Elephas maximus indicus: one gene and its partners. The protein of the gene in region 3 interacts with the protein of the main gene of each other region in a pairwise test. Links are inferred from orthologs where the notes say so. Each region holds a gene or a part of one and is shown on either strand. Other genes may lie near its edges. The genes, in order: USP13, TNNI2 and TRIM63.

Region 1 (3,748 bases), on a different chromosome or scaffold from region 3:
CAAATACATTACAGGCAAAAAAATTAAAAAATTTTCACAGTTCATGTGTTTGCACATGTAATTTCTCCTGCTGGGATGTTGGTCTCCTTTACTTCACCTTTATCTATGACCTTTTCCAAATGCATCCAATGCAAGGAAGTGTTTTTTTTTTTTTCCAATCGATTTTAGCTTTTTCTCTACCACAGTTCCAAAGTAGTTATAGATTAAAGATTTTGCTCTGTATGGTTCTTATATTCATGCATGTATGAGTTGGCACACAGTAGGTGCTCCATAAACCCTTACTGGATTCATGAAGCATTTTATAAGGAAAGATCTCTCATTATCAGGCACTGTGCATTAAGCTAACTTGTTACAAAACCTTCCTCCTCTTCCTCCCCTGAAACATAGATAATGATTATACTGCCCTTGTAAATAAACCCAATCTCCCCAAAGGAACTAATGTGATTTGAATGGAATCAACATATTACACTTAACAAGATGTTTCTAAAATAGTGTTCAGCACACAGTATGCTACCAATAACTATTTGTGGGATTGAATTAAAATAACCAGTTTTTTTCAAACCTCCCATACAGTCTATAATGTGGTTAAGATTTCTGATAACAAAGTTGGTAAGTAGAACACGAAGAGCAACCCAAAATAAATACGGAGAAAGCCGTTTTTCCAATTCCACGTGTTGTGCCATCCTAAGAGACTTGGGCCGCTTTTCTCCCTATTCCTGGAGTTCACAACCTCTCAGCTGCTTAAATTAGGACCATCATCGCGCTTCACTCTCAGGAGCAATCAGTGGGAACCATTCCCAACACTAGACACAAAATCTGAAATTGGCATTTTCGAATAATTGGGAATAACAGGACTTAATGGCACTGCTCGCAGTAGCTTTAAGTAGTATCATCACTAGATTAAATACAACCATTTCACTCCACTCTACATGAATCTTTTTGGAAGAAAAAAGTAATCAACAAACAGTAGATTTTTATCTCCAAAATGATCCGGGGCTGACAAAAAAAAAAAAAAAAAACCTAAATATCACAGCGAAGATACTAATTTTGGGACTCTAATCTGGTGGCATAGTGCTTAAGTGCTAAGGCTGTTAACCAAAACGTCAGCAGTTCGAATCCACCAGGCGCTCCTTGGAAACTCTATGGGGCAGTTTTACTCTGTCCTAGAGGGTCGCTATGAGTCCCAACCGACTCGACCGCAAGGGGTGTGTGTGTGCACGCGCGTGTAATCTCAACAAAACACAAAATGCTTTGAAAACAGCCCACAAGGTAATAAAGTTTGCTTTGGATAATTTGCAGCCCCTATGTCACCCCCCAACACTACTCTACAGAATATGAATAAAATGTGTTTGTCTATTGTGAAATCTGCCTGTCCCTGCAATCAACACACCTCCCAAAGCACTGAGATCTGCTCCATGACACATGAGCTCTGAAGTGTGTGGATAAAAATAACCCGGTCCTCAAAAAGACATGATAAACGCCAGACAGCTGAGTCACTTTGAAGCCCATTTTGACTCCTGAAAGGGGCATTCATCCTCTGTCTCCTTCACACACACACACACACACACAAACCAGGTGGAAACCACCCCCAACAGCCCTGTGTGGAAGGCGCTGATCGGTCTTATCTTTCCCCTCCAGTCTCTGAGGTCACGACTTGGAATTGAACTTTTAATAATTTATACTAGCGTATCCAAGTGACTCATTTTGAGGTGGAAGGGGAAAGGCTTAAGAAAACCTTAATAATCCAGCAGACCCATATTTCTGCTGCCTGAGTGGAAGCACCCGACAGTTTCTTCTGACATTCTGACGGGAAGGAAAGGAGTGGGGAGAACATGGGACGTGGAGGAAGAAAAGCTGAGGGCGTTATCTGGCACGTCCAGGAGTGGGAATCCCTGGGCAAAGCAAGCGGTCACAGAAACAGGAAGGGCTGTGAGCCCGGTGGAATCTATCGCCTCCACCGACCCGCCCCCCGCTCTCCCTCTCGCCCCGGGGAGGAAGCAAACCATCTGCAACGTGCAGTTAAGCGCAGGAAACTCTTAGATTCGGTCTTTCAAACGATGGCGGGGCTGTGGGCTGGCTGCTGGGAACTGGGGCCCTTTCAGCCCAGAGAGGCTGGCGGAGCGAACCACTCTCGCGCCCCAGTCTTGGGCTGCAGCAGCCTTGGAGAACGCAGCGCCAGGCACCAGTAGGCGTTCACTATTTTCCCAACTGCAGCGCCCCTGAGCCAACTCCGCCGCCCGGAGGAGGAGGTCCCCGCGGCCGCTGCGCATCTTTGCCCCCGGCTTCATGTGCCGCCGAGCTCCGCGGTTCGCGGGCGCCACAGGCCGCCCGCACCGCGACCCTCCCCCAGGCGCCGGCTGCCGCGCCTCACTTACGGGGGAGTCGTAGGAGAAGGCGCACTCATTCTTGTAGACCCTGTCCCCGGACCTGGGCACTCGGATCGTGGGCATGTGGGGCACCAGCAGCTCGCCGATGTCTCCTGCAGCCATCTTCCTGCTGCCTCTGCCGCCCGGCACGCTGAAAAGGGCGCCCCGGCGCTGCATGGCCGCGGGGCGAGCCCGAGCGCAGCGGAACCGAAGCGCGGGGTGGCCGGCGGCGGGCGAGCGGCGACAAGAGCCCAGCCGGGGCTCGCAGAGCGGGCCACGGGGCGGGAGCGGGCCCCCGGGACTGGGGCGGGCGGGGGGACGTTGCTATTTTTAATCCAATAGCGAATGGCCGGCCCAGCTGCAGCGTCAGGCGGGGCGCTGGGGAGCGCCAGCCGCAGCTCGCCGGGGAAGAGGCTCCGGAGGGAGGCCTTGTGCCCCGGCGGGCTCGGCGGCGTGGGGCGGAGGGCGAGCCCCGGGGTCCTGGGTTCTGGAGCCGGGAGGGGCGGGGGCGGGGACGAGGACCCCGGAAAAGGAGGGCTCCATGGGGGGCGCTCCTTGCCCACGCCGGCAGCTGCGGAGTGGCGGGGCCACGGTGTTCCTATCAGTTCGGTTGTAAAGGGGCAATTCGATGCAGCCAACACAAAAAGCAGGATTTAGGGGTTTTTAAAAAACAGTTCTTTTAAGATAAGAGCGGTGCCTTCACTGGACTGGGTCCAGGTGGCACTCCATGTGCAAATCTGGAACCTAACATCAGGCCCAAATCTAAATTTGCCCTTTGCACTTCGGTGTTGCCTCACTAAGCCTTTTTCCTCACTTTTTTAACATCCAAAGCTCAGACAGAATAGGGTAAGTTACAGTGAAGATAGAGGTATATTGTGCAATCATAAAGGTTTCTGGTACATTTAGGGCGAGTTTCAAGGTGCCGGTCTCGAACATTCAAAAGGGACCCTATGTGCAGACATACATATTCCTGTCTTGTTCTTGCAGTTCCTTAAAATAAATAACAAATGGGGTTGGGCTGGGGGAGGGGGGAGGTGATGCGAACAGAGCACACCTCACAGCACGCCCTTATTGCCTCCAAAATACCCTTAAAACATGAGTTCCGTTCCACTGAGTTTCCTTGATCGCCCCCGAGGTACTTACAGGTCAGAGCACCCAATGATCCCTGACGTTTAAGGAAACGCAGAAATAGCAAGAAATGAAGTGAAACAAACCACAACCAAATAGTCCTTAAATTCCTTTTTTTCGTTATGTTATTTCTCTCTTACCCTCCCTGACTCCAACTTGCCCGTTTTCGCTAGGGAGAAAACGGCGGCCCCTGGAAGTAGATGTGAAGTAGACGAGCGAGCCCTTACTTGCCCGCTGTTAGATTCCCATAGGCT
Region 2 (2,863 bases), on a different chromosome or scaffold from region 3:
CCAGACCTCCCTCTGGACACACCAGAGAGAGATTTTACGGGTCGAGGGACCCCCGGAGCTACACCCCCAAACCAAGCTGAGGAGCGGCTCTCATGCACTTCGGCCAGAAGCCAAAAAAGCAGGGGTAAAAATAGCCGAGTGGCCAAGCCACCACCTGCGCTGGCCAGTCCGGTGCCTCCCCCTCCCCCGGGGACAGCTGCAGCTCCTCCGGACCTTACCCTGGACACTCTCTTCTCTAACCCCCACCCTGGGGAATTCCAAGACAACAACTCCCTTCCAGGAGGTGGAGGCTGGGCGGGTGGAGGGGCCAGGGTGCCCTGTGGTGCCGCACCCTGCTGCCTCTAGGGGGCGGTGACCTGACACCTGTCCTTTCCCTCCCACAGGCTTTAAGCTCAGGACTTCAGGATGGGGGAGTAAGTCGTGTCCCCAGCCTGCTGCCACCTGCCCTCTCCCACATGCCCCCCCAGCAGCTGCCCCCACCCACCTCACCACCACTTAGCCCCTTCCCCACCACCCCAGCTCTGCCCCCCACCAGCCATGACCGTGACCCTAACCTCTCTCTTCTCTCTCCCCCCTCCCCTGGGACAGTGAGGAGGTGAGTACTTGCTTGGGGGGGGTAACACATGGAGGGGATGGACCCCCACTGGGGATGGGTCAGAGGTCAGAAGTTCAAGCCCAGGGTAGATGCCCAGCCGGCTCCCGACCCCTGCCGTGAAAATGCCCCATCCCACAGCCCCCCAGGACAGCACTGATAAAACAGAGGAAGTGGTACCCGGTGCCTGACGGTCAGGGGAAGTGGGGCTGCGGCCTGGTCCCATGGAGGGGGTTGCTTCTCCTTTCTGACTGCCTCCCCCCCCCCACCCCCCGGCCTGCAGCGTCCCCCGCCCCTGCTGCTGGGCCATTTCTCCTCTGCCCCTGCCTTTAGGAGCTGGACTGCTCCCTGGGAACAATGCCATCTCCACACTGCACTGTGTCCCTGAGCTCAGCTTTGGGAGACACCCACTCCTCTGCACAGAACCCCCTGGCTCAGAGGGGGGATGTAGGGGGTGGGGGGTGCTAGGCCTCGGCCGCCCTCACCCGGCTCCCTCTCCCCTGCCCTGCAGAAACGCAACAGGGCCATCACGGCCCGGAGGCAGCACCTGAAGGTACAAGCGGCAGTCCCGAGGGTGGCAGGGTCTGCTGGGGGCAGTGGGGTCTGCGGGGGGCAATGGGGGTCTGTGGGGGGCAGTGGGGTCTGTGGGGGACAGTGGGGTCAGTGGAGGATGGTAGGGCCCATGCAGAGGGCGGTGGGGCCCCCATGGCCAGCTGCAGTCCCTCACCACCCGGCTGCCGGCAGAGCGTCATGCTTCAGATTGCGGCCACAGAGCTGGAGAAGGAAGAGGGTCGTCGCGAGGCGGAGAAGCAGGCCTACCTGAACGAGCACTGTCCACCCCTGTACCTCCCCGGCTCCATGGCCGAAGTGCAGGTACCGCCCAGATGCTGCCTCAGTTTCCCCACTTGTCAAGCAGGCAGAGCCCTGTAGGGGTGGTCTGGGGACAGAGGCCGGGGCGGGAAGCGGGTGACATGGTGACTGAGGATCCCACCCCCAGGAGCTCTGCAAGCAGCTGCATGCCAAGGTGGACGCGGCCGAGGAGGAGAAGTATGACATGGAGATGAAGGTGCAGAAGAGCACCAAGGAGGTGAGGGGCTGCGGGCTGGGGTGCAGACACCAGACCCGGGCCAGAAGGGAGAGGCTGTGGGGGCAAGTGGGGGCTGAGTGCCCCCTTGGGTGCTCACTGGGCTCCCCTCTGCAGCTGGAAGACATGAACCAGAAGCTGTTTGACCTGAGGGGCAAGTTCAAGCGGCCCCCACTGCGGCGGGTGCGCATGTCGGCTGACGCCATGCTCAAGGCCCTGCTGGGCTCCAAGCACAAGGTGTGCATGGACCTGAGGGCCAACCTGAAGCAGGTCAAGAAGGAGGACACCGAGAAGGTACACCCACCCCACCCCGGGTGCCCCAGCACTGCTGTGTCCTTGCCCACCCTGGGAGCAGGGAGGGAAGGCCCAGCCATTCAGCTTACAGGGTCTGGGCCCCATGGTGGTGGACCTGAGCCTGTCCCCCACTCCAGGAGCGGGACCTGCGCGACGTGGGTGACTGGCGGAAAAACATCGAGGAGAAGTCAGGCATGGAAGGCCGGAAGAAGATGTTTGAGTCTGAGTCCTAGGCCGCTCACCTGGCAGGGCCACCTGCAGAGCCCAAGCCAGCTGGGCCCATCTCACTGGTCAATAAAGGCTGCACATCCCCATGACTGGTCTGGTCTGGTGCTGCCCTGAGTCACTGTCCCCAAGCTGCTGGCCACCTCCTGCAGCACGTTCTTGTCTACTGCCCACCTGGTGGGTCAGGCTGTCACCTCCTGGGTGCCACCTTCTGTGACACTGTGATCAGGGACGCGGGCCAGTTGTATGGCTAGGATAGGGCAGGAAGTCCTGTATGGCTGATGGAGCCCACCCTGCTGCTGGCTGGCTCCAGGAATGAGTCCCCGGCACTCATGACACTTTTACAGCCTAGGAGGGGGCAGTGGCCTAGGACTTACTTTGTCTGACTCCAGACTCGAGGACAGCCAGCTCAGGAGGAGACGGGCAAGCATGCCCCACAATGCAATGTGGGCAGGACAGACCCCCGACCCCTAGGCTGCCCCTTCTCCAGGAGCCACAGGGCCCCTGGCTGCTGCCCCAAGTGTGCCCCCACACGCACTTCCCTCTCCTGCTCATCCCCTTCCCCAGCCTTTTTGGGCCAACCTTTCCGCACCCCAGACCCACCGTGTTTCTGTGTCTGCCTACTGGCCTGGGCACTGAGGCCTGAGACGGAGTGAAGGCCTAGGCAC
Region 3 (3,748 bases):
CATAAAACAAAAACCAGACTCATCGTCATCAAGTCAGTACCGACTCATAGCAACTCTATAAAAAAAACTCTATAGGACAGTACAACTGCCCCACAGGGTTTCCAAGGCTGTAAATCTTTACGGAAGCAGGCTGGTGGGTTCAAGCCACCAACCTTTTGGTTAGCAGCCAACTGCTTAACCACTGTGCCACCAGGGCTCCTAGTACCCTACACATAAAAAAAAAAAGTAGGTACTTAATAAATATTTGGTATTTTTTTAATCATCGATATCCTATTTCACAATCACAATAACGGATCTCACTGTCCCCTTCTGTAGACGAGGGAAATGAAGGCCCAAAGGCCAGTGCCTGAGTGCATTAGTAACAGATTCAGACAGAAAGGCCAGGGCTCTTTCTCAGCAGGCCTGGTCTGCCACCCTCCCTCCAGCAGGGCATTACCAGTAGCAGGTGCTCAGTAAAGGTTTTGGACCATAAGGGCTGTGGGATCAGGCTCCTGGAAGTCTTGTCGGGATGTCCTGACTGTATGTAAAGCTCTCTCCGGTTTGAAGCCTGACGCTGTGTAACTTCTACCACTCACAAATTCTGCCTGAGACTGAGCTGCTCTTTCATAAACAGATTTGGAACTAGATCAACTGTGTCTCCTTCTAGATCACCTACTTCCACAACCTTGGGTAAATGGATTCACCTCTCTGAACCTCAGCTTCCTCATCTGTGAAATGGGGATAATAAAAGTTGTGGCCGATCCATAGGATTGTTAAGAGGTGCCAAGAAGAAGCATCCCAGTGCTGGTGCCTGCTGACCCACGGCGGGTAACTACTGGCCAAATTCTCCCTGGGTGCTTTCTCTTTTCAGGGCCGCTTAGCTGGTCGGGGTGCCTCTCTCTCCCCCTCCCGTCTTATCTTTCCCTTGCTTTCTGTCTCAGCATCTCCCAGAAGGGCAGCCTGCTGTCTGGACTCCTCCTTATTCACTGACTGATACTGAGAGCCAGGGTTGGGGCGTATGTTCCTCAGGCAGAAGGAAATGGCTCTCTGGACTGCTGGGAGGCCGGATCCTGAGCGGAAGTAGGAAGAGAAGGACAGCCGGGGAGAGCTGGTACAGAATGGCAGAGGTGGGAGGATCAGCTGACCTGGAACACTCCTGCTTGTAGATGTCGATGATGTTCTCCACCAGCAGGTTCCTCTGCAGGCCGTACACTCCATGCCGGTCCATGATCACCTCGTGGCGACAGGAGGGGCAGCGGAAACGGCCACCAGACATTGACACCGAGCCACTCCGGTTGGTCCAGTAGGGATTTGCAGCCTGCAGATGGCAAGGGCAGAGGTGGGGCCTGGGATCCCTGGCCAGCCCTTTCCCTTTCTAATCTCCTGTTAGCCGTCCCCACCCCTGCCTACACCAACCATTCTTGTCGAACCATATGACCTGCCAGAGGCCTAACTAAGGTATGGTAGGTAGGGCAGTGCCCTGGGCACCACCTGAGGAGGGGTGCTAACGAGCAGTTTTGATTCCACTGGCCACCTGAGGAAGGGTGCTAACGAGCAGTTTTGATTCCACTGGCCACCTGAGGAAGGGTGCTAACGAAGGGTGCTAACGAGCAGTTTTGATTCCACTGGCCATCCGCCATTGCAGTTTCCATCGCCAGCTGTGAGAGATCATTCAACAATTTAAGGCTAATTGCCATAGGCACTGTTTTCCACAGATAGGCCCCTGCGTGGAGCTCCCCATTCTGACATGAGAACCAGCCCATTTTACACATGGAGCACCTGAGAAGCAACTAAGCAATCAATAACCACACAAGATAATATACCTGCTTTAAGAATCGGTGAACCTGGGTTCAAGTTACATTTATTCGATAAATGACTTCGAATAAACAAACAAAAAAAAAAACCCAAACCCATTGCTGTTGTCACTTGCAACTCAGCAACCCTTTAGGACAGAGTAGAACTGCCCCACAGGGTTTCCAAGGAGCACCTGGTGGATTCGAACTACTGACCTCTTTTGGTTAGTAGCCATAGCTCTTTAACCACTACACCACCAGGATTTCCATGTGACTTTGAACAAGTAACCTTATCTAAGCCTCAGTATGCCCCTTCATGAAATGGACATTATAATTAGAGCAAGCTCCTAGGGTTGCTACTTTGAAGATAAAACAGTGAAAGAGCGTTTATGTAAAGTGCTCCTGGGGAAACTTGATCCCCGCTTCCCAGCCAGAAGGTCCACTCTGGTTCCTTTCTTAGGGCGGTTGGGCACCCCCACCCCTCCACAGGATTACAGGGACCAACCTCAAAAGGGAAGATGCCTCTACTGTCCAGTACCTCCCCACCACCCTCCTCCCAAAGCTCTGGGCCCCCTGCCACAGTAGAGCTGGCTCCAGCCCCAGGGGTCTGGTTTCTCTCTCCTTTCCGCTTGCCTCCCCTACTTATCTCTTGAGGCATTTGACTCTTGATCGGAAAGTCAACTGCCTTGCTTAGGGCAGGGGTGGGGGAGCTGTAGGCCTGATGGAGAGGGGAAACGTGCGTCATGGAGAAGGACTGGAGTGGCCAGAGCAGCCTCCCTCGCACCCCTCAGCTGAGTCCTCAGGCCTCTGCACGGGGGCGCGGGGGGGACTCATTTTGCAGGGGACAGAGCCAGCAGCAGTTTGGAAAGGTCCTGGGCTAGGTGAGAAGGGTTTTACTAGACCATGCCGGGCACTGACCTGGAAGATGTCATTGGCACACTTCCGGCAGAGGTTGTGCTGACACGGCAAGATGACCACTGGCTTGGTAAACATCTCCAGGCAGATGGGGCAGATGAGCTGCTTCTCCAAGTTCTCCATGGGGTTCCCAACCTGGATCAGACTGGATTTATAATCCATATTGTCGGTAGGTATAGGCCTACCTGGCTGCCTCCTTCGCCTGCACCTAACTATGGGCAGACCTGGGGCTCTTGCCTTTGTCACAAAACACCCGCACAGAGCCTCTTTGCCTCCTTCTTCTGGCGCCCGAATTCTGTCTTGGGCTGAGGCCCCTCTGATATTTATAGCTGGACCCTGGTCACATGAGCCCCGGGAGGGAACCAGCTGAGCATTCCGATGCCAGTTGGCTGCCGGGGTTTGAGTTTCCTCCAGGCCTGGAAGACTCACCCTCTCAAATCACACGTGGGGATGAGCAATCGCTGTTCTCCCAGGATGGGGGTCGTAAACAAGAACAGCCTGTTCGGAGGCAGGCCGCAGGGGGGAATGGGTACTCAGAATTGTCTCCAGAAATTGTTTCTCCCCCCGACCCCCGGCTGGGGAGGCAGGGCTGGGACTCATCCAGCGAACCATTAGGATTCAAGGGGTTAATAGCCAGTGCCCCCTCAAAGACAGGAGAGAAACCCTCTGACCTAAATCAAGTCCTTTCCCCTCAGGGCTTTGAACCTGATCTGTCCCTTTTGAACTCCTGCTGAGAATTTGCACTTCTAACAAGCCCCTCCCCCACCCAGTTATACATAAGAATCACCTGGGGATCTTGCTAAACTATAGATTCTGGTTCAGTGTATCTGGGGTGGAAAAGCAAATCCTCAGCAGAGAACTTGTTAGAAATGCAAATTCTCAATAGGTGTTCAAACCCCAAGTTGGAAGCCCTGTTTCTCTTCTCTGGAGTCCTGGGCACCTCCCAAGATGTGGGGTAAGGGAGCCCCTCTTTCTGAGCCCATCCCTCTGCCTCGGACCTGAGCACAACATTTTGCAGGAGACCTTGGAGTCCCCATCCTCTATCCCTTGATAGGGACCCC

Evidence for each region.
Region 1: the proteins of TRIM63 (region 3) and USP13 interact in a two-hybrid assay, tested with the Homo sapiens proteins (2 studies listed by BioGRID and IntAct). The link is inferred for Elephas maximus indicus from reciprocal best matches to the Homo sapiens genes TRIM63 and USP13.
Region 2: the proteins of TRIM63 (region 3) and TNNI2 interact in a two-hybrid assay, tested with the Homo sapiens proteins (2 studies listed by BioGRID and IntAct). The link is inferred for Elephas maximus indicus from reciprocal best matches to the Homo sapiens genes TRIM63 and TNNI2.

Annotation. Positions count from the first base shown.
Region 1 is NC_064819.1:35,280,039-35,283,786, forward strand, and holds the start of USP13 (ubiquitin carboxyl-terminal hydrolase 13), read right to left. Parts: upstream 2,828-3,748; 5' UTR 2,544-2,827; coding exon 2,376-2,543; intron 1-2,375. UniProt on the Homo sapiens protein: Deubiquitinase that mediates deubiquitination of target proteins such as BECN1, MITF, SKP2 and USP10 and is involved in various processes such as autophagy, endoplasmic reticulum-associated degradation (ERAD), cell cycle progression or DNA damage response.
Region 2 is NC_064825.1:136,028,845-136,031,707, reverse strand, and holds TNNI2 (troponin I, fast skeletal muscle), read left to right. Parts: upstream 1-934; 5' UTR 935-1,145; intron 1,146-1,336; 5' UTR 1,337-1,342; coding exon 1,343-1,465; intron 1,466-1,589; coding exon 1,590-1,679; intron 1,680-1,793; coding exon 1,794-1,970; intron 1,971-2,107; coding exon 2,108-2,203; 3' UTR 2,204-2,278; downstream 2,279-2,863. UniProt on the Homo sapiens protein: Troponin I is the inhibitory subunit of troponin, the thin filament regulatory complex which confers calcium-sensitivity to striated muscle actomyosin ATPase activity.
Region 3 is NC_064821.1:66,565,782-66,569,529, forward strand, and holds the start of TRIM63 (E3 ubiquitin-protein ligase TRIM63), read right to left. Parts: upstream 2,961-3,748; 5' UTR 2,850-2,960; coding exon 2,691-2,849; intron 1,298-2,690; coding exon 1,125-1,297; intron 1-1,124. UniProt on the Homo sapiens protein: E3 ubiquitin ligase. Mediates the ubiquitination and subsequent proteasomal degradation of CKM, GMEB1 and HIBADH.